Linked DNA regions of Arabidopsis thaliana. The protein of the gene in region 1 interacts with the protein of each later gene in a pairwise test. Each region holds a gene or a part of one and is shown on either strand. Other genes may lie near its edges.

Region 1 (8,211 bases):
GTAAAAAAATTCAGAGAAAAGATATTTACCCGAGTGACCTAAATGAAGTGAACAGGTCAACCTGACCTGGAATATTCTTAACCACCAGCTTATATAGATCACATATGAAAAATATAAAGTGTGTAGATAGATGCTTTTAAAACTTTCGATAAAGGCCCGTCAACAATTGATAATAAGTTTTCGTGTGAACTAAAACTCAAAAGTATTAAAAAGAATATACCAGTGGGTCTTATTATGCTCGATTATATAATTTTTCTTGCGTGTTATTATCATTTTTTCATGAATCCTAATTATTTATTTGGAAAAGTCCAAACCCGGAGATGCAGATTCCCTGGTCAATATTTGCTTACTAACTACAAATGTCGGAATCAACTTTAGTTCATTTTGGTTCTTATTGCGTCTGTTTTATAATAATCAGGTGTAGTTAAAGCAACTTTTTTTTGGGGCAAATTAAAGTAACTTTCTAATAGTATATATATAGAGAATATTAATACCCAATATTTATATACAGAAAATAACATGTTTAAATCAGCTTCTTCTAAATTTTAAAGTAATCAGTTTCATGAATTTGTAAAAAAAATTCTGCAGTATCATTAACTAGATGTCTGATTAAATATAGTAAAACATGTGTACGAATTATTTAGTTTGTATGGAGAAATATTTTTGGTCAAGCGATTAAAGTTCCATTTTTTGTGGATTTTTTTTCGCTAGAATTTAATTACGAATATTTGTTTTGTAGAGTTAACAACCTAAGAATCGAGATATATCTCGACATCGATGATATAAAGAAAAAAAAAGGTATAGTATATATTTTTAAAAACATACACTTATTGTTTTTAGTGATGATACTGGTAAAACACTTTCATGCAATATTATTGAAATACCACTTCAAAGACTAATTTTCGGTATCGATAGAGTTTTAGTTCGTCGACGTCGAGAAATTTTATATCCTCTTCGATTTCTTTACAGTTTTTATCGATTTTTTTTGTATATACTTCTAATTTTCTTCTCTCTATATGACTTTTCTCTCAATTTCTTCTTTTTCATATCTACTTTTTAAGATATTTTAAAGAGTCGTGAAAGAGCATCCCTTCAATATGCTCATGCCATTGGTATTGAATTCACCAAAAGAGAAGCCTCTCATCAAATAAGTTCTTCAATCCCGAAACTTGAGCTTAGTCTCCAAATCCTTTGAGTTAAGATGTCTTATGACCCTCGTCATTTATAAATTAAACTCAATAAAATTGATGTCTACACTTTGATCGGATTGAACAAGAACATTGTCATGTTCACTTGCAATATTCACATAAGCCTTTATCGGATTCAGTTGTCCGCAAATATTTTGATATTTACTCGATGAAAGATCTGCTATAAGGGTGAATAAATTTGTAATTCAAGCCCCATCACAAATCGCGGTAGATCAACTGCATCTAGCTTGGAAATCAAGAGTACTATATGCTCGTTGACGCCTTCATCAAGACCAAAAGTAAACTGTACATTGTTGCCTCTATTCCCCAATCTTGGAATCTAAATATCTCTTGATCAATTTTTTATGCTTGGTTCTATCATATAGTTACTTTTTAACTTGATGAATTTCCAAACATGTTTTAGGAAAACTACTTTGTGAAAATTTTATATTATATAAATAGAAAAGATAATTTAACGGAAAAGAAACATTAACTTTATAGCATGTGGTATGTGGATATTATGCTCACTCTCAATTAGTCAATTAAGATATACCAACAACAACCTGGTTGAGATATCACAGAAATTATCAATTAATATCTTATAAATGAATTCGAAATATGCTAAATGCAAACATAGTTTTGTAAGTACGTAATTTATAATATATTAATACTCAAATCTAAGACTTACTTTTGAAAACAAAAGAATATCTTGTCAAATTGACACTTTTTAATGTTCAAAAGAGATAGTAAGAAATTTCGCCTAACCAAGAAAACAATAAAAACAAGGAATTTCAGTCTCAATACTATATATATTTTTCTGTTATTCACTTATATATTTGGATGTGATAGAATACTTTTTTAAGAACACACATATCTTATCTTCACCGATATATTAGCTGATACATTTTTTACATTCCTTTTTATTATTATTATTCTTATTTATTTTCTATTCACATGTACTTACAAACAAAAACTTAAAGACTTTGCAATTTGCGTTACGAATATTTTTCGTCAGGCTGTAATTTGAAAAGTCTTCTAGATGATTTCAAGTCTCTGCTTAATGTGCCAACTAGGCTCTATGTCACTACTTTGTGTTGTCTCTAATTCTCATTCTTCTTGACAAGACCAAACATATCACTAATGATGAAGAGATGACTAATATTTGTTTATACATTTGCTTGTAATGAAGACATGTAGTATAGCAAAGCACCATATAATATAGTGATAGCATTCTATTAATTTGTTCTTTTTTACAGCCGAAGAAGAAGAGTATAAGAAACATGTTTAAGATTCAGCCTTAAACAAGTGAAGAAAAAACAAAAAGAAAGGCTCAACGAATGGGAACTTTGATCCAACCATTGGCAAAAGCAATGGCTAAGATGACGAATGGAGTTGACATACCGAATATGATAATGTAAGGAAGAGGCGTCTTCATCGGATTCTCTCCTTCTCTTTCTCCAACGCTTTGCCAATACCTACAAAATTCCAATGCAATCCTCATCCATAACCATTTCTTCAATCACAATTGCATGTTTATGAAAAATGAACATGCAAGAATTTAAGTTCTTTTTCTATTTTAAAAGAGTTTAGTTCTTTTGACTAAACTACAACCCAAATATTTTTATTCTTTTGCTAACACGGATTTGAGTCTGGATATTGATACAATACTAACACAATGTCACAAACCACCAGTCTACATGTCATTGACACATACAAAAAAAAAAACTACTTAAATTCTGCAATGGAGACTAAAATTTTTGTATTAAATTGGTAACCTACATATCGTTTTGTAATTTTCCATGTTTTCATCAATTTCCTAGGTTTGTTTTTCTGTGATTTTGCAAAATTACATTACCATTCTATGAGTTTCTGTTATTTTCTACAATCTCATGATGAAAATTGAGAATTAAGATTAACTTACTGTTCAGGTTCTTCCTCTTTGGTTATAAACTTTTTCTTATCTTTAGGCTTCACTTCTCCATCTCCTCCACCTTATGCAATAACCAAAGATTAACAAAATTTACATCTACAAACAAATAAAAGATATAAGAGTACCTAATTTGGCATGAAGCTTGAATTCTGGGAATCCTAATGGTGATGGTGGACAAAAGAATTGAGGTAAAGCAAGCAATGATGAATATGAAGAAGATGATGAAGTTGAGGAATCACTAGCCCTGTGGCTAAACGAAGAAGAAGAAATTCGAAATTTCGCTGCCATTTCCAACAACTATATGGATGTGATAGAATATTTTTACATTTTATTTTTCTGTTATTCACTTATACATTTGGATGTGATAGAATATTTTTTTCTGAACACACAGATCTTATCTTCACCGATATATTAGCTGAAGCCTGATACATTTACATTCCTTATTTATTTTTTATTCACATGTATGTACTAATAAACAAAACTTAAAGACTTTGTATTATGCGTTACGAATATTTTTCGTCAGGATTGAAAAGTCAACCCTAGGCCTTTAGCTTCCTTCTTTTATATAAACAGAGAAACAAAACACTTTCTTTCTCAGCCTCTCTGTTTCATCTTCTTCTCTAAACTCTCAACATGTCTTGCTCGGCCACCGATCTCGCTGTCCTGTTGGGTCCTAATGCCACGGCGGCGGCCAACTACATCTGTGGCCAGTTAGGCGACGTCAACAACAAATTTATCGACACCGCTTTCGCTATAGACAACACTTACCTTCTCTTCTCCGCCTACCTTGTCTTCTCTATGCAGCTTGGCTTCGCTATGCTCTGTGCCGGTTCCGTGAGAGCCAAGAATACTATGAACATCATGCTTACCAACGTCCTTGACGCTGCAGCCGGTGGTCTCTTCTATTATCTGTTTGGCTACGCCTTTGCCTTTGGATCTCCGTCCAATGGTTTCATCGGTAAACACTACTTTGGTCTCAAAGACATCCCCACGGCCTCTGCTGACTACTCCAACTTTCTCTACCAATGGGCCTTTGCAATCGCTGCGGCTGGAATCACAAGTGGCTCGATCGCTGAACGGACACAGTTCGTGGCTTACCTAATCTATTCCTCTTTCTTAACCGGGTTTGTTTACCCGGTCGTCTCTCACTGGTTCTGGTCAGTTGATGGATGGGCCAGCCCGTTCCGTACCGATGGAGATTTGCTTTTCAGCACCGGAGCGATAGATTTCGCTGGGTCCGGTGTTGTTCATATGGTCGGAGGTATCGCTGGACTCTGGGGTGCGCTCATCGAAGGTCCACGACTTGGCCGGTTCGATAACGGAGGCCGTGCCATCGCTCTTCGTGGCCACTCGGCGTCACTTGTTGTCCTTGGAACATTCCTCCTCTGGTTTGGATGGTACGGATTTAACCCCGGTTCCTTCAACAAGATCCTAGTCACGTACGAGACAGGCACATACAACGGCCAGTGGAGCGCGGTCGGACGGACAGCTGTCACAACAACGTTAGCTGGCTGCACCGCGGCGCTGACAACCCTATTTGGGAAACGTCTACTCTCGGGACATTGGAACGTCACTGATGTATGCAACGGCCTCCTCGGAGGGTTTGCAGCCATAACTGGTGGCTGCTCTGTCGTTGAGCCATGGGCTGCGATCATCTGCGGGTTCGTGGCGGCCCTAGTCCTCCTCGGATGCAACAAGCTCGCTGAGAAGCTCAAATACGACGACCCTCTTGAGGCAGCACAACTACACGGTGGTTGCGGTGCGTGGGGACTAATATTCACGGCTCTCTTCGCTCAAGAAAAGTACTTGAACCAGATTTACGGCAACAAACCCGGAAGGCCACACGGTTTGTTTATGGGCGGTGGAGGAAAACTACTTGGAGCTCAGCTGATTCAGATCATTGTGATCACGGGTTGGGTAAGTGCGACCATGGGGACACTTTTCTTCATCCTCAAGAAAATGAAATTGTTGCGGATATCGTCCGAGGATGAGATGGCCGGTATGGATATGACCAGGCACGGTGGTTTTGCTTATATGTACTTTGATGATGATGAGTCTCACAAAGCCATTCAGCTTAGGAGAGTTGAGCCACGATCTCCTTCTCCTTCTGGTGCTAATACTACACCTACTCCGGTTTGATTTGGATTTTTACTTTTATTCTCTATTTTCTAGAGTATTATTTTAAATGATGTTTTGTGATACTTAAATATTGTTTTGGATATTTTTTTGCATTTCAGTAATGTTTTAGATGTACAGTTTCATGGGGTTGTGATGATAATATCTATGTGGTCATTTGTGTTCTCTTTGGAGTTTTTTCTATAACGCTTTTTTCAAATTTTATGATCATTATTTGCTGCATTCTAGATAAGCAATTAGGAATGTGAAGCATGGACTAAGTAAAAGCCTGACCGTTTTTAAGTTTGGACTTTTGATATAGCTCATACTTTTTTGATATTAGTTCATACTTATTGCTTTAAATAGCTAAAAAGTCTAAAACAAACCTTGCATTGACGCAATAGATATAAATAACTCGAAGTATTGCTTTCTAGAAGCATTAACAATTTGGTAAAACGAAGTTGAACCATTTACTCAAGCATAATAATCAGAAATGACAATCTTTCATGTCTGATGCAAATAAATAATAATTTATGGAAATAATTTCTATGTCTTACATCACTAATTAGACTTTTAGATGCTTGCAAGTTTGAAGTTTCAGCAGAAGTAGGTGCTTTTACAAACTCTTTTTTGTTTTAATTTGATAAAGTGTGTTTTTACAAACTCTGTTTTATTTTATTTTGAAAAAGTGTGTTTTTACAAACTTTCAACCAACCTATTCACGAATCTCTAATTTCATTTGTCCACCACATGAAATAATGTGTTTATTATATTAGTGTTATTTAAACTCAACGATTTTGGAGATTCGTACGTACCTTGTTGCCGCAACTAAAGATTCGGAGTATCACAGTTATTATATTAACAAATGGATTCACAAAGTAGATCGCGAATTACTTGAAAGTTGGAACTCGTGATAATGTTGTCGATACCACTAAATGGCAACTTCGTACATATGTAAAAAAAGTCAGGGTATTTGGGTGCTTTTCAAAAAGATGGAAGCATGACATGAGTGATGAGGCAGCTCCTACAAGTTGGAAAGAAGATATTTTGTCTTTACCTCCAAATTAAAAAATTGGCATTTTTAAATATCAAAAGGTGAAGAAGCCAATCAATTAGTATATTTATTTGTATTTTTTTTTTTTTTTCAATCTCTTTTACAAGTTTTAAGGAACTTAATGGCCAGCACTTTGATTTGATAGATACACACTAAATGAAAAAGTTGACCAGATGGCTCCGGTACTCGGAAACAAATTGCATGGAAATTTTACATAATTAGGTACACACATTTCAACATTTTGAAGAATATATTTGACTGTTTTGATTTTGCAGTTTCAATTGCTTTATGATTTCTACTCGGTTATTTATTGCTTTCCTAAATTTTATTCTGTGTATCTTACTTTATTATTTTTTAGAATTTAATATTTGTTGCTTCTATTCTCAATGAATATACTCAACAGATGAAATAATTAATAAATAATTCCAAACATTTGAACGTTAAATAATTAAATAGTCTTGACCATTTTAATATTTTTTCTAATTGTAACATTTTCTTTAGTATTACTAGGTTATGATTATCATTACACGTTTGGGTTAAATATGTTTTTGAACTTTTGGCGACAGGCGAGTCACTTGTTTTATAAACTTAACTTATACTAATCATTTAACAGGCTACATGTACTTTGCTATAGGTGAGTCATGTAACTGTTTAATTAGCTAGTGTGAATGTGTGATCGACGAAAAAAAAAAATTAGCTAGTGTGACCATATTACTTATACAACAACAAACTAAAAACTTGTCAAACTAAAAAAAGAAAGTAATATATCTGTTTGTAATTAGTCTAATCGTATTAAACTTTTCAGTTTTCACATAATAAAACAAAATTACAAAAATCTGATTATAAATGCATCACTTTTTGTGATTAACAATTTTTTACCCTAAAGCAATAGTAATTATTCTTAAATTTTACAATTCATCATCATTAACAAATCAAAGATAAAAAAATTTAAAATGCTCACTTTTCATTTCTTAAAAAAATTTAATCTAAATTGATAATCATTATCTACTCGGAAGAAAATAATCGAGATGACAACGGCTTGGTTCATGTGTGAGCCTCAACCACCCCCTCTTTCTCCGTATTTCCCTAACATGTCTTCACGAAAATTTTATAATGATTTATAGAAATAATTCTGTGTTGTCATATATTATTGGAATTTTCAATGCTGGAAAGTTGCAGCAGAACTTGGCGTTTTACAAACTTTGAACCAACCGAACAGGAATCTTCTTGTCATTACATGCAATGTTTATTTGATTCAACATTATTTAGATAACCGAACGAACAACTTTGGAGATACGTACCACGTTGCCACACCGCAAGATTCGACGTGTATCCTAATATTTTACTAATAAGAAAGATAAGATTCGCACAAAAGAGATCACAATTTCGTTGGAGCCCGTGATATCGTTGTCAGTATCATAAATGGTAATTCCGTACATACATGAGTTCTTATGGGTAATTTTGGTATTTTAGAAGTCAGAAAGAAGAGATTTTACCAAGTTTTTGACGTCTCTAAAAGTGCAATTTGGACCTTTGTATCTCTTTATCAATACCTAAATAAAGAATCTAGATGCAAAATTGTTCCGCATGTTCAAATTTGTGTAAGAACATAACATAACACTATTATATGCAAAGATAAAACAATACTCCATCTAGAAAGACTCACTCCAACTGTAATATTCATAATTCATTTATTGTTGCTACAGATTCTGAAGTTGAAAAGAAGTTGCGCAAAACAATAATGATACTAAAATGGCATAGTCAATATTAGTGGCTATAATTAATAACTATACGTTACCGTACAGCTAGAAACAAAACCGTAAGACTTTCACGACTTTGATTTTTCCTTGTTGATTTGACTTTTTGTTCGAATAAATATATTCAATGTATCATATGCTTCCAATATTCCAATGATTAATGTGAAA
Region 2 (8,271 bases), on another chromosome or scaffold:
ACGCTTTAGGAAACATCCTGCAAAACTTGCTTGTACCAGGTGGCACAGGCACAAGGTATCTTTCTTGACCACTTTGTTGTTGTTCAGTGCAAAGTTTTTTGCAAGCATCCTCGCACATTATAGGAGTAGCGTTTTTAACTTCTTTCAAGCATTGGTTTGAGACACAATGTTTAATACACATATTTACATTATTCGAATGTGAGATTTGTGCCGAAAACATCATTGCGAACAAAGTTGTAATGATTAGAAGATCGCATGTTTTCTTCAAACTTTGAGCTGCCATAATGTATATAAATGTAGTGATATTGATTAGAACAAATGTTATTAGAAAACAAGATGAATTGGTGATGGATATTGGGTTTTGTTTAGATGATTTATATAGTGAAGATAATATTTCCTATTTTTAAAAATTGGTTTTTCTGTTTCTTGTTTCTTTCACGACGGTTAAGATTGCATTTCTGTGATTTAGTGTTATGGTAATCCAAACAACTTTATTGTTATGAATAAACAATAATAATGTTACAAATCCTTGTAATTTAACCATAATCAGAGAACGACTAAAACCGTGAAATTAACCGAACAGAAATTAACGATTGGCTAAACGATTTCGGTTCGGTTAGTTTCCGGTTAACAAAATTAATCCGAAGTCACTCCTAGGCCTTTGGTCAATCTTCGTTTCTCGTTTCTCTGTTGAGTAACGACAATCGACAAAGGAACTTTGCTCAATCTTCGTTTCTTCGTTAGGTAATCTTCGTTTCTAAGAATTGGAATGTTCTTTTTCATAGGATTCATGATAGTTTTTGGCTGCAATTTTGAATCTTTATTCTGACTATGTGAGGAATTTGATTTTGTTATCGTTGTCGTTGTTTCGTCTTAGGATTTGTGAGAATCATTGAACAATTTTTCAACTTTGACAATTAATAACACGAGAGGAGCTTCAGATTTATGTGTTTGAGTATTCAAAGATATAGCTTTTATATTTGCCTTTCTGGGTTTCATGGAGATGAATCTGTATACTTATAGCTCATTAATTAGTCAACTCTGTTGTTGCTTCTGGTTTGACATTGTATTGAGTAGTCAAAGATTTGAGCTTTCTAACTCCACATGAAGATATAGCGTGTTTACATTTCATTTGTGAAAAGTACTTCAGTCCATTTGGGTTTCTATCTGGTTTAGAAGATATTTCTGGTGAAAACTTTATTTGGGCATTGCTTCTTTTCAGTGACTGATCAAAGATGGGAAGTCAGGAGAATGTGAAACACCTCGAGGAATGCACTGTTTCCAAGTTAGTTTCTTACTGCATCAATAATGTTTGATTGTTTGCTAATCATTAGAAAGAGTAAGGAACACATATTCAGTCTTTGTTTCTTCACTGTGATATCGAAATTTATCAGTAAGTCATTAGTTATGTAGCCACTTTTAGTTGTTTTCACTTGTTCACACCATCATGCTTTTCATTTGGAAAAAATAAGTAACCTTGGAATATAACCACGGTTGTTGTTTGATACGTCTTGCTTGTTAAAACACTTGAGTGTTGAAAGGTTCAGTTCCTCTGGTGTATAAAGTGTTTTCTTCTTGATATCGATTTTTTGTGATCTAGGATCATAGTTTTGTCATTGAGTCATGAGGTATGTAGCCCACTCTTAGTAAATTTCACTTGTTCATACCATCATGCTAGCCACTACATTGCTTGGCATAAAGAAGTAGCCGCAGTATCCAACATTTGTATCTAGTATCTTCTAATATAAAACACAGTATGATTGTTGTTCTCGAAATCAAAACATCCTAAAGTGAAATTTTCGATCTTTTTTGTGGGTGCAGTGCATTAGGGACATGGGTATTCTCAGTCCTAGGCGCATTGGTTGCAATCCCGGTAGGCATCAAACGCAAGTCTCTTGGGCCACTCGTGTTCTTTGGCACAACCGGAACAATGCTCGACATCATCATTGGTGTAAGTCAATGCGAGAGAGAACACGCAGAACACCAAATGAAGTTACTCCAAGACTCTCAAAATGCCACAACAACAACCACCAACACAGAGACTGAAGAAAGCTCTTCCATGTCCTAATCTTTTTTACATCTTTCTCACTAAGACTTTGATGTAATTTGATGCCACTCACAAGTTAAACTTGTTTTAAGATATTGTGATTATCCCATGTATCTTGAGAAAACAAAGAAGAAAGCTTTTCATGATTACAACTGATTCATTGACATTGTCATCTCCACCAAGAAATTGCAACACACGAAGCAATAGAATTTAATACGATAATATATCTGAAACTGTTACGAGCAATGTATATGAATCGATAAATCTTGGACTCCAATATCAAATGGTATTCAAAAACTAAAAAGGTTCAAAGTGAAAACTTTTATCAACAAACTCTTGTTCAAACTAATGAAACAAAGAAAGATTATTATAACGATAAACGATGAATCTCACTAAAACGACGGCGTTCCAAGTCGAAAGCAGAGGGAATGTTGAAAGTTAAACTTGATTTTGAATAAGTTTAATTATTGGATCAATTATCCAATAATTAATTATGGCCAAATCCAAGTTCTAGAGTTTTCTCTAGAAATATCATCATTTCCACCTCCTTAAAAGATTCTAGAAATTTTCTAGAATCATCTTCCACCTCCTTAAACATAAAAATCTAGATACTCTAATAGAATAATCTAGATAATTTGAATAATGTAATCTAAATCTTATGTAAGAACTCTCTAGACTTAGGATTAAAATATTTTAGATATTTTGTAGTTTGGAGGCTATAAATACCTCCTCCCCCTCTCAAATGTTGCAATGTTGTGAAGTTATCTTCAAGTTTAAAGCAAAGTAATAAAAGTTATATTTCCTAAAAAACTCTCTCAAAACACTTAAACACTTTCTCCATTACCTCTAAAAGAATTTTACTCTAACAGGGAAGATTCCGGCGAACACAAACTCATCCGACGACGAAGAACCGAAGATAAGCGGAGAAGCAGAGCGAAATCGCTAGGCAGATAGAACCCAACGTAAGTTTCATGTCCGTCTCTTCTCGTAGTCTACGCATCACCACCGGCGCAAACGTGAGTCCAAGCATCGATAAACCGATTCTGATAATCACCACCATAAAGCACATATCGGCCATCTTGTTCAGCTCTGATGCACAGTATAACGCCACGTGTCCGTTCTTCGTCGTCTCCGTTAGATATGAACCGTCGAAACCAGAAGCTCGTTTGCAGATTCCGGTGAAAATGGCGAGCGAAACTGCAAGAAAGAAACGATCGTTTACACGACGAGTTTCTTCTCTTCTCTCACGACCTCCATCTTCGTCATCCATTGCGATCTCGTAGTCTTGCAGGAGAAAATGGAGATTTTGAAACGATGATTGATGAAAAAATCAGAATCCGGGAAAAAGTGAGAAAATTTGTCTCTGAGAGGTTTTGGAGTTTGTTAAAGAGGGAAAGAAGAAGGGTTTATAACCTAACCATGGTTAAAATTTTAACCATGGACCATAGTTTATTTTTTAACCTTGCTTTTTCTCTAACCATGGTTTATAATCCGTACGTGTTGAAAAAGTTTCAAGGAGAGAGGTGATGACTGATGATATTGAGTGGACGAAGGACTTACCTCTTTTGGTCACTGTTAAAAATTGGTTTCTTGAATTACTGGTTACAAAATTTCGTTCGTTGCTGAACCGGAAATTGACAATTTTGGTTACACAGAATTGGGACCAAAAATATCTGCATGGTTTAGTATTTGATCATATAACTACCTATAAAAAGACTAGAAATATTTTATATTGTTAGATAATTGTGAAATTTTGAACAAAAAAAAATGTTAAGGGTTAAATATGGTCTTTTTTACTAAGTTTTATTCATCGGTTTTTCTAAAATGTTACTACTTTGGGTAAACAAAAGTTAAAGCAGTTGCCTGATTACGACACGTTGAACAATGGATTGATCTTATGTAAATTTAATTGATAAAAAAACAGTTCATGACTGCATTTTGCAGCTAATTCCTTAAACATTTTGAGCTAAAATTTGAAACTATCATCAAGAACATGAAGTAATTAGTCTTAATCCGATATCATAAACGGTTCACACACACATCGATTTCTTTGTAAAACTAATTATTGTATTCAGGGATGCGATCCGAAACTTTAACGCATTTTTATCTATGCAAATACAGTATGAAGTGATAAATATTGCAAGTTGTAACTACAATATCAATTAATATTCAGAAAATCTTGTTTAAACCTTTTATTCAAGAAACCAAAATGTTCACAACACAAATCCAAAGAAATAAACGAAAAGCAGATACAGAGCATCCGCGATGGTCTCACTGAACGATCACAGGTCCAAATATTCAAACCTCTAATCAAAGAAACCATAATGTTCAAAACAACAAACCCATCAAAGAAAGAAAAAAACGAAAACTAGATTGTAGATAGAAAGAGAGATGATAAATGTAAGCATCGTCGATGGTCTCACTAAAAGACACAGGTCCATAGTAACGGTGGAAGAAACTCAAGACACACCACTCACCCGGTGACGGAGCAGCGAAGGTACGCTAAGAAAGCAATCGTGAGGACGACAAAAATCAAACCCACGAGCAGCTGCACGTCACACTCTTCTCGTACTTTTCTCATCTGTTCCAGTTCCACCACCATCGGAGCAACAATGATCTTGAGAATCACAAGCATAAAAGCAAGATGCGCCCACAAGTTGAACTCCATCGCCCAAGAATACGCCACGTGTCCGGTCATCGTCGGGTTTGGATCTGAGCCAGCAGCTGCTCTTTTGCAGACTCTTGTGGACAGTTCAAGCAACACTGCGACGACAAAACGACCGTTCAATCTACGAAGCTCTTCACGTCCCTGTCACGATTCTCTTCACGTGGCTCAACAACTCCTTCCATGGCGAGAGATTCTTGCAGGAGAAAAGAAAAACAAGATTTTGAGACGAAGATTGTGAAAATGAAAACAGATTCGGGAGAGAAAATCTATATAATAAGGGTTTTTGGAGTTTATAAGCATAAAATGTTTCTTTTATTTAAATTAACCACGGTTAAAGTTTGACCGTGGACCATGGTTAATTGGTTATAGTAATCGTACGTTTTCTAACGGGACGTGAGTCTTGATGACTGTGTTGAAAGTTAAACTTGATTTTGAATCAAGTTTAATTATTGGATCAATTATCCAATAATTAATTATGGCCAAATTCAAGTTTTAGAATTTTCTCTAGAAATATCATCATTTCCACCTCCTTAAAAGATTCTAGAAATTTTGTAGAATCATCTTCCACCTCCTTAAACATAAAAATCTAGATACTCTAATAGAATAATCTAGATAATTTGAATAATGTAATCTAGATCTTATATAAGAACTCTCTAGACTTACGATTAAAATATTTTAGATATTTTGTAGTTTGGAGGCTATAAATACCTCCTCCTCCTCTCAAATGTTGCAATGTTGTGAAGTTGTCTTCAAGTTTAAAGCAAAGTAATTAAAGTTCTATTTCCAAAAAAACTCTCTCAAAACACTTAAACACTTTCTCCATTACCTCTAAAATAATTTTACTCTAACAAAGTGGTAGCAGAACTTGAAGATCCTAAAGATGGCGAGTAACAATGTTCCCTTCCAAGTCCCGGTGCTCACAAAGAGCAACTATGATAATTGGAGTCTACAAATGAAGGCTATCCTAGGAGCACATGACGTGTGGGAGATAGTCGAGAAAGGTTTCATTGAACCGGAGAATGAAGGTAGTCTTTCTCAAACTCAAAAGGATGGTTTGAGAGACTCAAGAAAGAGAGACAAGAAAGCTCTCTGTCTAATCTATCAAGGATTAGATGAAGATACGTTCGAGAAGGTCGTTGAAGCTACGTCGGCGAAAGAAGCATGGGAGAAGCTTCGAACCTCTTACAAAGGTGTCGATCAAGTCAAGAAAGTACGTCTTCAAACTCTAAGAGGAGAATTTGAAGCACTACAAATGAAGGAAGGTGAACTCGTCTCCGACTACTTCTCAAGAGTGTTGACGGTTACTAATAACCTTAAAAGAAACGGAGAGAAGCTAGATGATGTGAGAATCATGGAGAAAGTTCTTAGATCATTGGATCTAAAATTTGAGCATATTGTCACCGTCATTGAAGAAACAAAAGATTTAGAAGCTATGACAATAGAGCAACTTCTTGGGTCATTACAAGCTTATGAAGAAAAGAAGAAGAAGAAAGAAGATATCGTCGAACAAGTCCTCAATATGCGAATTACAAAAGAAGAAAACGGCCAAAGTTACCAAAGAAGAGGTGGTGGTGAAGTACGAGGACGAGGTCGTGGTGGATATGGAAATGGACGTGGTTGGAGGCCACATGAAGACAACACAAACCAAAGAGGTGAAAACTCATCAAGAGGTCGTGGGAAAGGACACCCAAAATCAAGATACGATAAATCAAGTGTCAAATGCTACAATTGTGGGAAGTTTGGACATTAGGCTTCTGAATGTAAAGCTCCTAGCAACAAAAAATTTGAGGAGAAGGCCAACTACGTTGAAGAAAAAATTCAAGAAGAAGACATGTTATTAATGGCTAGCTACAAGAAAGATGAACAAGAAGAGAATCATAAGTGGTACCTCGATAGTGGTGCAAGTAATCACATGTGCGGGAGAAAAAGTATGTTCGCGGAGCTTGATGAATCGGTGAGAGGAAATGTGGCTTTAGGAGATGAATCGAAGATGGAGGTAAAAGGTAAAGGAAACATTCTCATTCGATTGAAGAATGGAGATCATCAATTTATATCCAACGTTTACTATATTCCGAGCATGAAGACAAACATCTTGAGCCTTGGACAACTCTTAGAGAAAGGTTATGATATTAGATTAAAAGATAATAACCTTTCAATAAGAGACCAAGAAAGCAATCTCATTACCAAGGTGCCAATGTCGAAAAATAGAATGTTTGTCCTCAACATTCGAAATGACATTGCACAATGTCTCAAGATGTGTTACAAAGAGGAGTCTTGGCTATGGCATCTTCGATTCGGACATCTAAATTTTGGAGGATTGGAGTTGCTTTCAAGGAAGGAAATGGTGAGAGGGCTACCTTGTATAAATCATCCAAATCAAGTGTGTGAAGGATGTCTACTTGGAAAGCAATTCAAAATGAGCTTTCCAAAGGAGTCAAGTTCAAGAGCTCAAAAACCGTTGGAGCTAATACATACCGATGTGTGTGGTCCGATCAAGCCGAAATCACTTGGTAAAAGTAATTACTTCCTTCTCTCAAATGTATAACTCCCCAGGAATTTCAATTGCGCTTATATTCATCCCATTCTAAAACAATTAGATGATGATAAAATTAACAAAGATTGGGACTCCTAATCGAAAAGGGATATTTAATTAGGTTCCATAAAAAAAAAAAAAGGCTTGAAAAAGAACCTTCTCCACTTTATTCTTAAAAAGCCTCATGCTTATTCGAAAGCTTTGTTGTTTTTAGGATCTGGATCCATTATTCATTCTTGATTGATGATTTTTCAAGAAAAACATGGGTATATTTTTTGAAAGAAAAATCCGAGGTGTTCAAAATTTTCAAAAAGTTTAAAGCCCATGTTGAGAAGGAGAGTGGTCTTGTGATCAAAACCATGAGATCCGACCGTGGAGGAGAATTTACATCCAAGGAGTTTCTTAAGTATTGTGAAGACAACGGCATTCGAAGACAATTAACGGTGCCAAGATCCCCTCAACAAAATGGTGTAGCAGAAAGAAAGAATAGAACAATTCTTGAGATGGCAAGGAGCATGCTCAAAAGTAAGAGACTACCAAAAGAGTTGTGGGCGGAAGCGGTCGCGTGTGCGGTTTATCTATTAAATCGATCTCCAACAAAAAGTGTCTCCGGAAAAACACCACAAGAAGCTTGGAGCGGAAGAAAGCCCGGTGTTTCTCATTTAAGAGTCTTTGGAAGTATTGCTCATGCTCATGTACCGGATGAGAAGCGGAGCAAACTAGATGACAAAAGTGAGAAGTATATCTTCATTGGTTATGATAACAACTCCAAAGGCTACAAGCTCTATAATCCCGATACGAAGAAGACAATTATTAGTCGAAATATAGTGTTCGATGAAGAAGGAGAATGGGATTGGAACTCAAATGAAGAAGATTATAACTTCTTTCCACATTTTGAAGAAGATGAGCCGGAGCCAACAAGAGAGGAGCCACCAAGTGAAGAGCCTACTACACGACCAACTTCACTAACAAGTTCTCAAATAGAAGAAAGTTCGAGTGAAAGGACTCCGCGTTTTAGAAGTA
Region 3 (7,211 bases), on another chromosome or scaffold:
CACCAATTTAAATATTTATTATATTGCATTTAGTTTCAATTAGTAAGGCAACTAGTAGGAGAATCCTCAAAATAAAATAGAACTATTTATGGAATAAATCTCATTATAGATTTTCAACTTTTTGGGGACATTACATTAAAAGGTAATTTATGAATTATATTTTTTCAATTCTATTTCAGTAAAAAGAAGAATTATCTTTTATAATCATATATGCAAGTTGACCAACTCTCTTCATCCTTCCGCCAAGTCAGCAGTAGATAGATTGGCATGTGTCACATCAATATATTAATTTTATTTATTATTTAATTTAATTTATTTAAGAATTAAAAATCATGAGAGACATGTGTCACATCGATATATTAATTATAGGGTAATATTAGAGGATGACCAAATTTGACAGCATTATTAAGAAAATAGCCTTCGTGCAGAAAAGTTGGATAAATAACCTTTTTTGAGCCTGCGAAATAACTATTTTACCTTTTATAGATGAGAGAAACTCTTTCTTTTCGACAATAGCTGCTACATGTAGGGAACAAAAGACAATAGAAAGTAATGATTACACCGCTACTTCTTAAAAATCATGCAATATTAGACCACTACTTATTAAAATCACACGCAATATCTCTTATACCTTAAAAATGTATACGTAAAAGAAAATTTAGTTAAAAAATAGCCATTTAGAAACAGTTGTGATTGAGTATAGAAATGTTGCATAAGATATTTAAGGACATGCTATTTATTTTTATTATATTAGAACGTAGGTTTATTGTTTTGACAATATGGTAAATGGGTTTCAACAGAGATAAGCAAACCACATATGTGTTATTTATAGATTACATGTGATTGTACAAATTTGCATGTGATTATAAAAAAAACATGAATCATGAATCAGTAACTTACTTGTGATTTTAGTAAAAATATGGATTATTAGTAAAATGCACATTATCTTTAAAAAAATATTATCTTATCAAAAAATACAAACGTTTTAGGAAAATATACATATCAAATAGAAAAATAGCATGAATTATTCAAAAATTACATGCTATCGTTTGAATTGAGACACACGGATCATTGTAATTTTAGTAAAGAACAAGTATTATTTAAAAGAAACTTTGAAAAATACAATGTTTTAGAATAAAAATACATGTCAACAAAAGTAAACGGCGGTGGTGATGAATAGGGAAGAGGCGGTGGTGTTATGGATATGATGGTGGTGAATACGGAGGCGGTAGTATTTACAGATCTAGTAATACTAAATACGGAGGAGGCGGTGGTGTTACGGATCTAGTGGTGGTTATTGTTGTAAGGGATGAGGAGGTTATGGAAGCTTTAGTGGTAAAACTATTTGCCTATAAAGCTATTTGTCCCTTCAACCAAAACTCTATTATAGGGATATGAGAGTAATTTAAAGTTGGTTTCCGACAGGTACTATACGCCCATGGTTAGTTTCTATAATATTATGAATTTCATAGTCATCTAGTGCATATACCCTTAATTATATTTATTAATTAATTTAAGAATTAAAAATCATGCATTAATTCTTTCTTGCATACAAATTGACATGTTTTAACTTATTAATTGAATAAATTTATTTTAATTAAGTACAAAGTATATCAAACTTGTATATAAATTAAATTATTTAAATTTAGTTGTATAAGTCGTATAAACTTATGCATAAATAATATGATATAAGAATTTATTTCATGGTTTTATATAGTATAATATATATAGGATTAGTGACAATAAATATTAGTTGAATTTATGGTTTATTTATATAAGATACTAAATTGACACTAGTTTAATTTCGTTTATTTTAAAAATACTTTAAAGACAACAATTGTTTTAAAGGTAAGTAATTGTAAATAAGGTTTATTAATGTAATTAAAAACATTAAAAAATAGAATGAATTATTTACTTGAGAGTTAGAGAAATACATTAAAATGATAATTCGATAAAATACAAAATATGTTTTACCAAATTAATTCAATCGATGTTATTTGTTATAACTAACAAATTATATGAATATACTCATACCTTGTGCAGGTGTTGGCTTAGTATTTTAAATTCACAACCATCGATGTTTATAACGAGCTAATGTATAACACATATAGCTTTAAATCTAGAGTATAATAAAAAATAAATTTTAATGGAAATATAGTAATAATAAATAAAAGATACTAAATTTCAAATATTCAATGGTTCCGTAGAATAATGTTTTTTAATTACTTGATAAATTATTTATACAAAATTAATTAGGTGATAGTTCCTCAGTATTCCTCAAAAATTAAAAGCCACCCAATATATTTTTGTAAAACATTATGCATTACTAAATAAAATTTTATTTTTTAATTAAAAAGATATAATGAGAATCAAAATTTCTTCTTCTCATCTTTGTTTGTTTCTTTGGTCATTTTTAAGAGCTAAATCATCTTATCATTTGTATTTAAATTGTTTTTTCTGCATATATGATTCGAATTTATCAAAAACAAAATGTTGAAGATGCATCCAAAATAATTGAGAAGGGATTAAGTGATATTATTACCCAGGTCTAGTCGACTTAAATGATTTTCAAAAAATATGATGATCTGTTGTTCTTACAAACTCAGATTCCTAGCTAGTGTAGAGCTTCCAGAGTTCTCATTGTGTCTTGTTTGTGTCTTTACGAGAGGTTTGGAACAAATTTCTTGATCTTATCGTTAGGTTTGATCCCACACGCGAAGCAATATAAAGATTGTGATTTTTAGTATTGTGCAAGAATTCACAAAACACATAAAAATATCTTGTGATGATCAACAAGACTAGTAAACAAGTCTATCAACCTTACATGTAGAAGTGCACTGGTCGAATAACGAGGATGAGATTTGTAGGTCAAAACTGTAATTGATGGTAAATAAACATTGGCGATCATGATGTTATAAGGGGTATCAAAACCAAACTTAATTGAGTGTTTAGCAATGTGGCATCACAGTACCATTGGGGGAATCAGTATTATATTTTACTTTGTTACTGAGAAAATATTCAAATATTGGTTAGTAGATATAGACTAAAATAGTTACCGAGGAATAGATATTATTAAGATGTGACCACACTTTCTCATGAACTTTTGTAGCAAGTTCATAGAAAAACATGTGTAAAAGAAACATGGTGTTGCTATTTAGCCGCATATATATGAGGGCTTAATCTCGTCGCTATTTAACAATAGAAATAGTCGACGTCATTTGTTTCTACCAAGGGACTTAAACTTGTCCTTTGTCAATGCGTAGTTTTGTGGCTTCGGATTTTAAAAAATTGTTTCTGAATTTATATAGATCTAACAACCTTTGTAAGATTAATGCTTTAGATACTAATATACTATCAATGAAAAAGAGTATTTACTTTGTTTTCACATTTATAGGAAAAAATTAGAAATCTTCATTTACAAAACGACATTCGTAGTTTGAGGTTATTACTTTTTGGCGAAAAGAAAAGAAAAGTTTGAGGTTATTACTAACGATGCCAACTATCAAAACAAAATTTATGTTAGTAACCAATTATGTGGGTGTTTGGTTGAGTAGTAACTTTCCTTTTTACTGTTGTTCGGCAGTAGCTATAAACTTTTTGTTGTATGATTACATGTGTTGGTTGTAGATGTAGAGTTTGATTGGTAAAGTTAATTAAATATTGAGGATTCAAAATTTAAGTTTATCAATTTAAAATTATAACATAATATTAAATGAGATAACAAATAAATAATAAATAGTAAATTTCATATGTATAACACATTGTTTGGTCAATTTTATAATTTTTTTTACCTCAAAAATATGATAAGATTTTTTTGTTGTCTTATGTTTAAAGTACAACGTACTCATATAATCTTATGCTTGTGAAAGTTAAAAATAATTTCTGTCCCGCTTGATGATTATGTCATTTTATTCTACAAATTTTTTTTGGCAACCGATATTAATTAGAATTCAAAGAGTTAATCCGAGAGATATTGTTTATATATATGGTATGATGCAATTCGGTATAATTCTTTCATACCAAATTATCCGTTTTTACATTTACACTACAAAAAATTAAAAATAAAGAAAAGTTTGTGAATTCCTTCTTGTCATTCCAAAATTTATCTTTTTTTTCCTAATTTTTCGGTATAATTCTAATTACTCTATGATCAAAACCATAAATAAAGATAAAACTGAACAAACACAAAAACTTGGATCCAAAAATACGGTTGGGACATTACCACATTTATGGCGGCATTCAATTCAATTGATTGCCACGCATTTTTCCAAAAGAATATACCCTATATAAAAAAATCCATTAAATATTATCTTTAACACATAAATGAAATCTTTCTCCTACATCCTACATAATCTGTGAATCTTCTTTCCATGTTTACACTGTTATAAAGCAACTTCAACTAATCCCGTTTTAAATATAAGCTATCTACTCTCTCTTAGCCATAATGGGAAACGAAGCAGCACTAAGATCATCAATGGTAGGTCTTGCAGTGGTGATGGTAGTTGTATGGTTATGGACACAGTCTTTAAAGAAGACGGTTGTTACTTACGCCGTCGGTATTTCTCTTATTGGCGGCATACTTTTGCCGGATTGGGACTTCTTTGATCGGAGTTTCTCTCGGTGGGGCTATCCTGTCACCGCCGAGGAAAGATCAGCCGCTCTCGCCCGCAAATCTCATCCTTCAAGGTTACTTGTTTATCTTATCTCAATATCAAACTAGTTGTTTTATCATATCATTATATATTAATCTTTGAATTATTAGATCTAAATTTTGGTTTAGCTTTATTGCCTTAAAACCTATTGGATAAACATAAATCATACATACAATTTTTTTTTTGTCAACCGATATTAATTTGGATTCAAAAGAGCGAATCTCAAACCATACATACAATGTTAGGTTCCATTTGCAATGTATGTATTATTGTATATCTACGAATTAGGTGTACAAGTTATGATTGAATTTGTTTATTTTCGTGAATATTTTCTATTGATTTTAATTGTTAGATCCAAATTTTGGTTTGGTTTACTGGCCTAATTAATGGATAATGGATACATCTTTGGACCAAGTAATGCAGGTTTAGAGTGTACCCTATGAGGATGGTTTTATACGGCACGGTCTATGGATATGCAGTGTATAGGTGGTGGATGTTCGTATCAAATTATTGAAGCCATATTGTATTTACTTGGTCCATCTTTTTTATGGTTTAGTGTTGTTGATTAACAAAATATTTAGCTTCGTTTTATTTTAACTTTGTAGAACATGTAAGACTACCAGATTACATATTGGTGTGTCCACATAAGATGGACAAAAATTGTCAAATGGATTGTGGTATACAAAATTGACCCAAAACAAAACTCCTAGAGACTCTAAATGAGCATTCTACCACCAAATTCTGTCCCACATCAGAAAGATCTTTAGGTTAAAAGTGAATGTCTCTAGGTTGTTTCGCAAGAAGGAGCAGGAGGGGGAGGAGGAACACCGAAGACCCAATCTAGTACGTTCAAGTATTTTGATCGAAATACGTCTCTTTCTTGTGCGTAACAATGCATTATAATGGCTGTCGAAACGCTGAACACAACCACATCCGCTCTTCTTAAACTCTTGGGCGGTCGAATGTATCCTGCCTCTGTCATGCAAGTAAAGAAGCTCTCTATCGCCCTCGCTAAGCAGTATAGTGATATCTCTATCCTTCTGCTTTTCTTCTCAATAGCTAAAGCCAGACCTGTTGGGAACTGCAGGAGAAGCCTAACGTTAGGTATTATATTAACAATGATATGTGATGAGAATGGCTTTCGTTTGTACTGTTGCTATGGCCACAAGCGGTATGTTGCATGTCTCAAAAGTGCGGAATAGTAGACAAGTCCAAGCCCTATTTTACATCATTATAGAGATGGTCTAAGTTCCAACTTCAAGTGAGAACAAAACAAAAATCGATAAGAGCCTTCCAAGAATTGATTCTAACCAGGCAGAAGAGCAGTAAGTAGCGAGAAACAAACTTGATCTCGCTGTGCCCAGAAGACCCTTGCCAAGTATAGAGTATTGCCTGTGATGAAACATATTATGAGGTGATGAATAAAATCAGAGGATATATACCATTCAATGAGCAGTTTAGACATAAACCTATTACTTTTTTAGCAGGTCTTGACGATGGACTATTAGCGCTGGAATCAAATACACAGGGACATAGACAGGTAACGCCCTCTTGTAAGCTTGAAGGAAAAATGTAACACCATGCTTAACACATGACTCATTTCCATGTATTATCTGCAAGTAACAACATAAGTATTGCGTAAAACCATGCATGCAGACTCATTGACGATACATCAACTATCGACAAATGCTTTGTTCGTCTTAACAACCCAAAAAAGATAGTATCATAGAAAACTTACCGTACAGGGGACTTTCATGGTAGGATCCAGTTTGATATCAACTCCAACAGACTTGTAATATTTCTCAATCGCTCTTAAATTAGTGAACGGTTGCGCGGTTGCGATATCTTTTACGCCTTGTAAGATTGAAAGATCCTTCCCACCTTGTTTGTTAAGGAAAGACTTGTACGATGAAGGAAGGCTTTCTTGTTTCAAAATGTAAGCAGACCTGAAAAAAAAACACAAAATCGCTAATCTAAGAATCTAATAACAACCAAGAACCTAGTAACAACTAGCTGAACCACAAAATTTAATATCTTTGTAGAGAGAAAGAGAAAGCATACAAAATCTGTGAGGAAGAGAGACACATGAGGAATAAATCTCCATGTTTCCAAGTAAGTGGCTTGCAAATGGTACCAAAGCGTTTACTTTTAATACCGCAACGCGATGCGAGAACCGCAGCACGCATCAATATATAAACAGCCAAACTCGTATGTTGCGTATTTGGCCCTGTGAGAAGCATAGATGGTCCAGCCACCAATCCAGCAAACAGGGCCCTCCATTTTGCAGTTCTGGATTCAGATTAAATTACTTCACAGTGATCAAATCTGAAGAAATTGATACTTCACTATTTTTGGGTTTAAATCACAAAATAAAAGTTACAAGATTAGTGGGGACAAACATGCCTCTTGTCTCCTGCTAAAGCAGCAATAGCTTCATCTACAGAAACAAAAGTCCCAGCAAAAGTTCCTAAGAACAATCCATATCTTAACGTCTCCTTAATCCCCATAGCGATAGCTTCACTATTCGAAAACTCTCCGGTTTTCCTAAACCGACTACGA
Region 4 (7,671 bases), on another chromosome or scaffold:
TCAAGATGTTGAGGAACAACACTTTTGTCACGGTTACAGATTCCAAAGGAAACGTCAAATGCAAAGCTACATCTGGTAGTTTACCCGATCTGAAAGGTGGAAGGAAGATGACGAATTACACAGCTGATGCAACCGCTGAAAACATTGGGAGAAGAGCTAAGGCTATGGGGCTGAAATCTGTGGTGGTTAAGGTGAACGGATTTACGCATTTCGGAAAGAAGAAGAAAGCTATTATCGCGTTTAGAGACGGTTTCACCAACTCGAGGTCTGATCAGAATCCGATAGTCTACATCGAGGACACTACTAGGAAAGCTCATAATGGTTGCAGATTACCAAGGAAACGTCGGGTGTGAAAAGAAAACGTCCCATGTCGTCGTCTCTTGTTATTCTATGGTCACTATAGAAACCATTTGTTTTGGCAAGTTATATCTTTTCTTGGTTATGTTTTCTCCTTCAAATCCGAGGAAAATCGGGTTTAGATAATTGGACCAAAGCGATTTGATTAATAAACCGGAATTGTTTTCCTGTTTTGACCCAATAGAAAATTTGACATTTTAATCCCAGACCATATAAGCCTGTCAAATATAGAAGCAATAAAGTTATTCAAAAATAGTTATTTTGCTTTGGAAATAAATCGCTCTCTTGGTCTCAGGAAGTGAGTCGATAGATTGAGGAAAATCTGGTTTAGATAATTGGACCAAAGGGATTTGATTCATTAACCGGAATCTTAAGCCTTGTCAAATTCTGTTCACATATATAAGCAATAAAGTTTTTTTTAAAGTAGTGATTGATTTGGAAATAAATCGCTCTCTCGGTCTCAGAGATTGAGATTCCGATACGGCGGAGCAAAGCAATTTAATAAACCTAGGGTTCAGATTATGACGGCGGCGGAATCAATCGCCGCATCGATTAATCAAATTGATGAGAAGAAACAAAAATTGAAGAAAGCTTTCGATGATCTTCAAGCTCATCGATCTCTCCTTTCACCATCTTTTAACCTCTCATGGTCTGAGATTGACTCTCACTTTTCTTCTCTCCAGTCTTCATTGTTTAACCGCCTCCAATCAGCCGTGACTAGTTCCAATTCCGGTAATATCGAAACTCCCACGGCGGTTACGACGGAGACACCAGTCCTTTGGCCGGAATTGAGAAAGTTTTGTGAGAAGAATGATGGAAAAGGTTTGGGTAACTACATGATTGAGAATTCGAGGAAGCGTTTATCTATCAATGAAGAGCTTCCTAATGCGATTCGATGCTCAGAGAATCCAGCACCTTTGGTTCTAGATGCAATCGAAGGTTCTTACCATTGCTCATCACCATCGTCGTCTTCCTCGGCGAGAGCGATCGATGTGAAGAGGATCTTCGTTTTGTTATTAGAAGCTTTGATTGAGATCAATGCGAATCTCACGAATGATTTGAGAGAAAGAGCTAGGACTATTGCTTATGATTGGAAACCAAATATAGGTAACAAACCATCAGAAGCGTTAGGGTTTTTGCATTTGGTTGCAGCTTTTGAATTAGGGTCTTTATTTAGTACTGAGGAGATTTGTGATTACATTTTCTTGATCTCTAAGTATAAACAAGCAACAACGATCTGCAAGAAGATTGGTTTAGATAGAAATCGAATAGGAGTTCTCGTTCAGAAGTTTTTGGATACTGGGAGATTACTTGTTGCTATTAGATTCATTTACGAGAATGAGATGGTGGGTGAATTTGAACCAGTTTCGATTTTGAAAACTAGTTTGAAGAACTCTAGAGAAGCTGCTAAGAGAGTTTGTGCTGAAGGGAATTACTCTCTTAAGGTGCAGAACGAAGCTACTGATAAAGAACTAAGTGCTTTGAGAGCAGTTATCAAAGTCGTGAAAGAGAAAAACATCGAGTCCGAGTTCATGGAAGAGAAACTCGAAGAATGTGTTAAGGAGTTGGAGGATCAGAAAGCTCAGAGGAAGCGTGCCACTAAGTTCAATTCACCTGCTAATCCCCAACAACCACAAGAACAAAAGGTCGATAATAAGCGTCCTCGAGTTGCTAATGGTTCAAGTATGGAATATAATTTGACAATCCCACCTCTGAGGCCGCAACAACAACCACCACTTTTGCCTACTCCTAGTCAGATTTTACAAGTGAACCCATATGGTCTTTTAAGCTCAATACTTCCTGGTGTTGCTGTCCCATATGGCAACCCAAGGGCTCTATTTGGCTCGGTTCCAGCTCCAGCTTCTCGACCCGTCTTTTATGTGCAGCAAACTGGTTATGGGATGCCACCACCTCAGTACCGCCCACCGTACTATCCTCAGTAGCATCTCTCTATTGGTAAGATTTATTATAGGAATGCAAGCGATATTGAGAAGATTTCTGCTCGAACAGGTCTATGCTCTCTATGTGTTTTTGATGTTCAGTAATGAATATCAAGTAAATTTCGAGAGTTTTGACATAGATAACACTTGATATAGTCGCTGTTTGGGGGATAACATAAGAGCAAATTGATCCGTTTTTTCTTTTTTTGTTTACCTGGTGAAGCGACTATAGAGGATTTTGCCTTGATTGTACAGTTTTATAACCTAACCTTAACCTCTTTTTAATTTAGTTTAGTTTACTTGTGGAGGAATGGTCTTTATGGTTTTGATCTAACATTTATATTCCTTGATTTGTTAGGTAATCTTCCAAGATTTCCTCCCTTTTTTCTTATAATCACCAAAGATCCCTTTTGGTTTGATTTGTTGTAGTGGGAAGAAATCTACGTGTCTGGATATCTAAAATGATCCAAAGGATAATATTCAACTAGCACAGAAACAGAAATAGTTTTTTTTTCATTAAACTATTTAAGTTTACAAAAGGATATGCTTATGGTTTTTCTGATGGAACAGAAAATTAATATTGTCATTTCAATGGAGAAGGAACATGTTCGATGAGCAAAAAAAAGAAAAAACAGAACATGTTCTTTGTTTTACAGTTGTACCCATACTGATCAGAATAAGCCAATCAACGGGGTGTCTGAATCCACGTATACAGTATCTATCTCTAAAAATATTTATTTCCTTTAAAGAAAATATTTAATAGTTATGGCTTATGGGCCTGAGAGGTTTATCATGACGCCCATATATATCTCACGCGTTGTCCTCGTCTTCTCCGTCTTACACTGATTTAATTCTCCTACCAATCTCAACTTCCGACGTCTATTCATCATGGGTTTGAAGGTACGTTCAGATCCAAAATGAACCAAACCGATCTCGGTTTCGGTTTATTACTACTCGGATCTTAGTTTTGTTTGTGTTCACCATTCCTGAATTCTATATTTTCTGTGTTGGTAGCCTTGTTTGATCCAGATTTGCAGATATATAGGTTCCTTATAGTTACGAAATTGAAGCTTGTATAGTCAAGAATGATCACTTTATGGAATTGAATTATTACTGATCACGCTTTTTCTCTGTATGATTTTGTCCATTTACTGTTCTTATAACTGATTTGTTAAACACTGTTTGCTGATGGGTAATATAGTTTTGAATCTGAGCTAGGTTTGGTTTTATTGAGTTTTGTTTGATTATTGTATCCCGATTGAGAATTTTAAGTAGTAATATGTTTGATGGTGTATTAGGCTATTAAGAATCTTTTCTTCGAATTTGTTGTTTCACTGATTTATATATCTGCAGGAGGAATTTGAGGAGCACGCTGAGAAAGTGAATACGCTCACGGAGTTGCCATCCAACGAGGATTTGCTCATTCTCTACGGACTCTACAAGCAAGCCAAGTTTGGGCCTGTGGACACCAGTTAATATTTTTGTCTGAATATTAACATCCTCTATTTTTGCTTCTTAGTTCACTTTTCTGTAATGTTGTTAATAATGTGTATTTGTTTATTGATTGATTCAAAGGTCGTCCTGGAATGTTCAGCATGAAGGAGAGAGCCAAGTGGGATGCTTGGAAGGCTGTTGAAGGTACAAAAACAATTCAAGTGATCAACTTTTTTAGCTTAGTGATTTGTTTGTAATTTGGATTCTTGTCTCAAGTTCAACAATTTTTTGTGCTTGGGGAATTGAATTTGAACTTTTCTTTGTTTATGATGTCAGGGAAATCATCGGAAGAAGCCATGAATGACTATATCACTAAGGTCAAGCAACTCTTGGAAGTTGCTGCTTCCAAGGCTTCAACCTGATGAATCAAATCCTCATCTGCAGTAACTTTATCTTAAGCATCAAAATAACATTGCATAAGACTTGTTCTTGCTCTTGTGTTTCTATCATATTTAAGCTATCTACTTTGTGACATGGTGTGATCTCTTAAAAATGCTTGATATTGGTTAAAACAGAGAATCATGATGCAAACTAAATCCATAAGTTATTTTTGGTCCGTCCTCGATATGGTCTTAGTTAAAACAGTTGAATTCAAGATGATATATTCGTTCTGGTCCGTAGGTCTTTTTCTTCATGGTCCATCGCATTCACCACTCACTAGAAAACTTTCGTTTTATTTCAATTTGGAGTACATAAGACAAAAGCTGGAAAAAAAAAGAACGTGGCAGATTTTTTATTTATTTTTTTCGTCTCGAACATTGGCAGAATTGTTCAAATTGTATGTGGTTTATTTAAAGTCAAATTCGTAAATAAATAGACGTTTAGTTTTAAAGTGTCTACAAATTTGAGGTTTATAATTTGGTAGATGACAAAAACAATAGTTTTTTTATTGAGTTGATCATAATTACTTTTATTTTTTATTGATTGTAGATTAACTTCCTTCCCTTAATGATAATCTCTTAACCGTGATTCAAGAAATTAAATAATATTGTAGAATATTAAAATAATTAATTGTATGTTGAACATACTAATATTTAGTATTATGATAATCTCTTTATCAAAATTATACATCTAGAATTTTTATATTAAATGCATTGTGTTTTTCAATTGAAAATTAAACGATATAAATATATAGTATATGCACTTTAACATAACAAATTCTTTTATATATTTTAATATAAGTGAAATAATTAATCTATATATACATTTTTGTAGGAGGTTTTTGAAGATAATGTTGAAGATGTGAACCATAATTCAACAATTAATTCAAATGGGTGGGTTTTACCCGATTTAACTCTATTCGGATCCTGGATAACATGTTTAATTCTGTTCTGATCTTGGATAACATTAATTTTTGGAAAAGTTACCTAAAAAATAATAATTAAAAACGAAATTAATGATTTAATTACATAATATAAACAATATCTCTAAACTAACCATATTTCTTATTTACCTTAACTAATTTCCTAAAATATTTCTACCTAATTTAAACATAAATATATAATTCTTCTTTCATTTTTATTTGATCTTATACTTTATTTATTTTGAATTTATATAAAATATATATAGTTAATAAAATATTATATTTTTTCTGAATATGATGTAATTCAAATTTTTTAAAACGGAAATATATTATTCAACCTATGAAGAAATAATATGTGTACAATGTCCCACATCGCTTAGAAAAATTGGACAATAGTTCAGACCCATATTATAAAAGGACCAAAATGATTCTGATTACGAATGAGCAGGAAGCTTGATTTATCAGGCGTCTAAAATTAAAATAGTTATCCGATTTTACTCGGATTTTTTATTTTAAAGAATTGAAACTTTAAAATGTTTCAAGAAATTATAAATATTATAACTTTATCAAAAGTTAAATATTATAATTTTAAAAACTTTTTATAAAGTTTATCTTTAAAAAATGCTTTAAATATTTATAATTTTAAAACTTATAAAGTTTTAAAAATTATAAATTGAATTTTACAAGAAATTTAAACATTATAAATATATAAAAATATATTAATACGAGACGATATATTACAGGAAAAATCTTCAATATAACAATCAAAATTCAATGATGATTTTTGGGTCGATATTGTATTTTTGTAAGTTTCAAATTTTATAATATTGAAATTTATAAGAAAATGACAAAATTATGTTTAATTTCACGGGACTGGGTTATATGGTAGGACGGGTTTGGGTGGATAATAATTACGATTTTAGAATGTCCCACATCGCTTAAAAAAATTGGACAATGGTCAAGCCATACTATAAAAAGGACCAAAATGATTTCGATTACGAATGATCATGAAACTTGATTTATGAGGTATCCAAGATTAAATGGTTTGTTTACTAGGGTTATTTATTTTAAAAAATTGAAACTTTAAAAAGTTTAAGAAATTATAAATTAAATTTTACAAGAAATTTAAACAATATAAAAGATATTAATACGGGACGATATACTGCGAGAGAAATCTTAGATATAACACTCAAAATTCAATGATGAAGTTTGGATCAATATTAATCTTTTTTGAAGTTTCTAATTTTATAAATATTTGAAATTTATAATAAAATGACAAATTTGTGTTTAATTTCACGGGACGGGGTTATATGGTGTGACGGGTTTGAGTGGATAATAACATGGGATAGTATGCTATGGAAAAAAACATATAATAACAATCATAATATAATTATATAATCTTAAACACTAAACAAAATTAACAATATTAAAAAAACACACTTAAAACTTTATTTTTTTTAAAACACATTTTGATTCTTTTATAAAAAATTTAAACATTATAAATATTTAAACTTTATACTACGGGTGAAATTTTAGAATTGACTGTTTGGGTTGATAAGAATTTGCGATAGAACTAGGAGTTAAATCCTAGAATGACAATCAAAATATAATTATACAATTAAATACTACCACGAGTGAAATCCTAGAATTGACGAGTTTGAATCGATATTAATATGGGATGGTGTACTACGGGTGATATTTTAGAATTGACTGGTTTGGGTTGATAATAATTTACGATAGAATTAGGAGTGAAATCCTAGAATGACAATTAAAATATAATTATACAATTAAATATTACCACGGGTGAAATCCTAGAATTGACGGGTTTGATTCGATATTAATATGGGATGGTGTACTACGGGTGATATTTTAGAATTGACTGGTTTGGGTTGATAATAATTTGCGATAGAATTAGGAGTGAAATCCTAGAATGACAATTAAAATATAATTATACAATTAAATACTACCACGGGTGAAATCCTAGAATTGACGGGCTTGATTCGATATTAATATGGGATGGTGTACTACGGGTGATATTTTAGAATTGACTGGTTTGGGTTGATAATAATTTGCGATAGAATTAGGAGTGAAATCCTAGAATGACAATTAAAATATAATTATACAATTAGATATTACTACGGGTGAAATCCTAGAATTGACGGGTTTGATTCGATATTAATATGAGATGGTGTACTACGGGTGAAATCCGAAAAACAACAATCAAAATATAATTATACAATATTAAACATTTAACAAAATAAACAAATACAACTTAAAACTTTAAAATTTGAGTTATAAAATTTCGTCTCGCGGTGAATTATACATTTAAATAAAAAAATAGCATAAATTTATTAAATCATCCTAAAAAATATTCAATTATTTTTATTTAATAAAAATATAGGTCCGCGGTATACCGCGGGTTAATATCTAGTACTAAACTAATTAATTGTATGTAGAACATAGTAATAATTGGTAGTGAAAGCAAATAGATTTGGTGTTATAGTGTAATATAATTATCTGATAATCTGAATTAGAAATTTTAAAAAATCAGACCACATTTGAAAGTTTCAGAAAGTA

Evidence for each region.
Region 2: the proteins of AMT1;1 (region 1) and AT1G21940 interact in a protein complementation assay, tested with the Arabidopsis thaliana proteins (one large-scale study listed by BioGRID).
Region 3: the proteins of AMT1;1 (region 1) and AT1G34640 interact in a protein complementation assay, tested with the Arabidopsis thaliana proteins (one large-scale study listed by BioGRID).
Region 4: the proteins of AMT1;1 (region 1) and ACBP6 interact in a protein complementation assay, tested with the Arabidopsis thaliana proteins (one large-scale study listed by BioGRID).

Annotation. Positions count from the first base shown.
Region 1 is NC_003075.7:7,854,470-7,862,680, forward strand, and holds AMT1;1 (ammonium transporter 1;1), read left to right. Parts: upstream 1-3,713; 5' UTR 3,714-3,750; coding exon 3,751-5,256; 3' UTR 5,257-5,449; downstream 5,450-8,211. Other genes in the region: AT4G13500 (uncharacterized protein), read right to left, coding at 2,518-2,662, 3,109-3,178, 3,243-3,405. UniProt on the Arabidopsis thaliana protein: High affinity ammonium transporter probably involved in ammonium uptake from the soil, long-distance transport to the shoots and re-uptake of apoplastic ammonium that derives from photorespiration in shoots.
Region 2 is NC_003070.9:7,712,231-7,720,501, forward strand, and holds AT1G21940 (uncharacterized protein), read right to left. Parts: upstream 4,746-8,271; coding exon 4,586-4,745; intron 3,332-4,585; coding exon 2,940-3,331; downstream 1-2,939. Other genes in the region: AT1G21928 (Plant thionin family protein), read right to left, coding at 1-283; AT1G21930 (uncharacterized protein), read left to right, coding at 1,236-1,285, 1,822-2,068.
Region 3 is NC_003070.9:12,685,661-12,692,871, reverse strand, and holds AT1G34640 (peptidase), read left to right. Parts: upstream 1-4,328; 5' UTR 4,329-4,444; coding exon 4,445-4,686; intron 4,687-5,075; coding exon 5,076-5,166; 3' UTR 5,167-5,320; downstream 5,321-7,211. Other genes in the region: AT1G34630 (uncharacterized protein), read right to left, coding at 5,437-5,733, 5,804-5,870, 5,964-6,044, 6,129-6,265, 6,391-6,598, 6,714-6,941, 7,056-7,196.
Region 4 is NC_003070.9:11,407,614-11,415,284, reverse strand, and holds ACBP6 (acyl-CoA-binding protein 6), read left to right. Parts: upstream 1-3,051; 5' UTR 3,052-3,185; coding exon 3,186-3,197; intron 3,198-3,650; coding exon 3,651-3,768; intron 3,769-3,872; coding exon 3,873-3,935; intron 3,936-4,067; coding exon 4,068-4,153; 3' UTR 4,154-4,519; downstream 4,520-7,671. Other genes in the region: NFD3 (Ribosomal L18p/L5e family protein), read left to right, coding at 1-353; FRL2 (FRIGIDA like 2), read left to right, coding at 879-2,300. UniProt on the Arabidopsis thaliana protein: Binds medium- and long-chain acyl-CoA esters with very high affinity. May function as an intracellular carrier of acyl-CoA esters. Confers resistance to cold and freezing.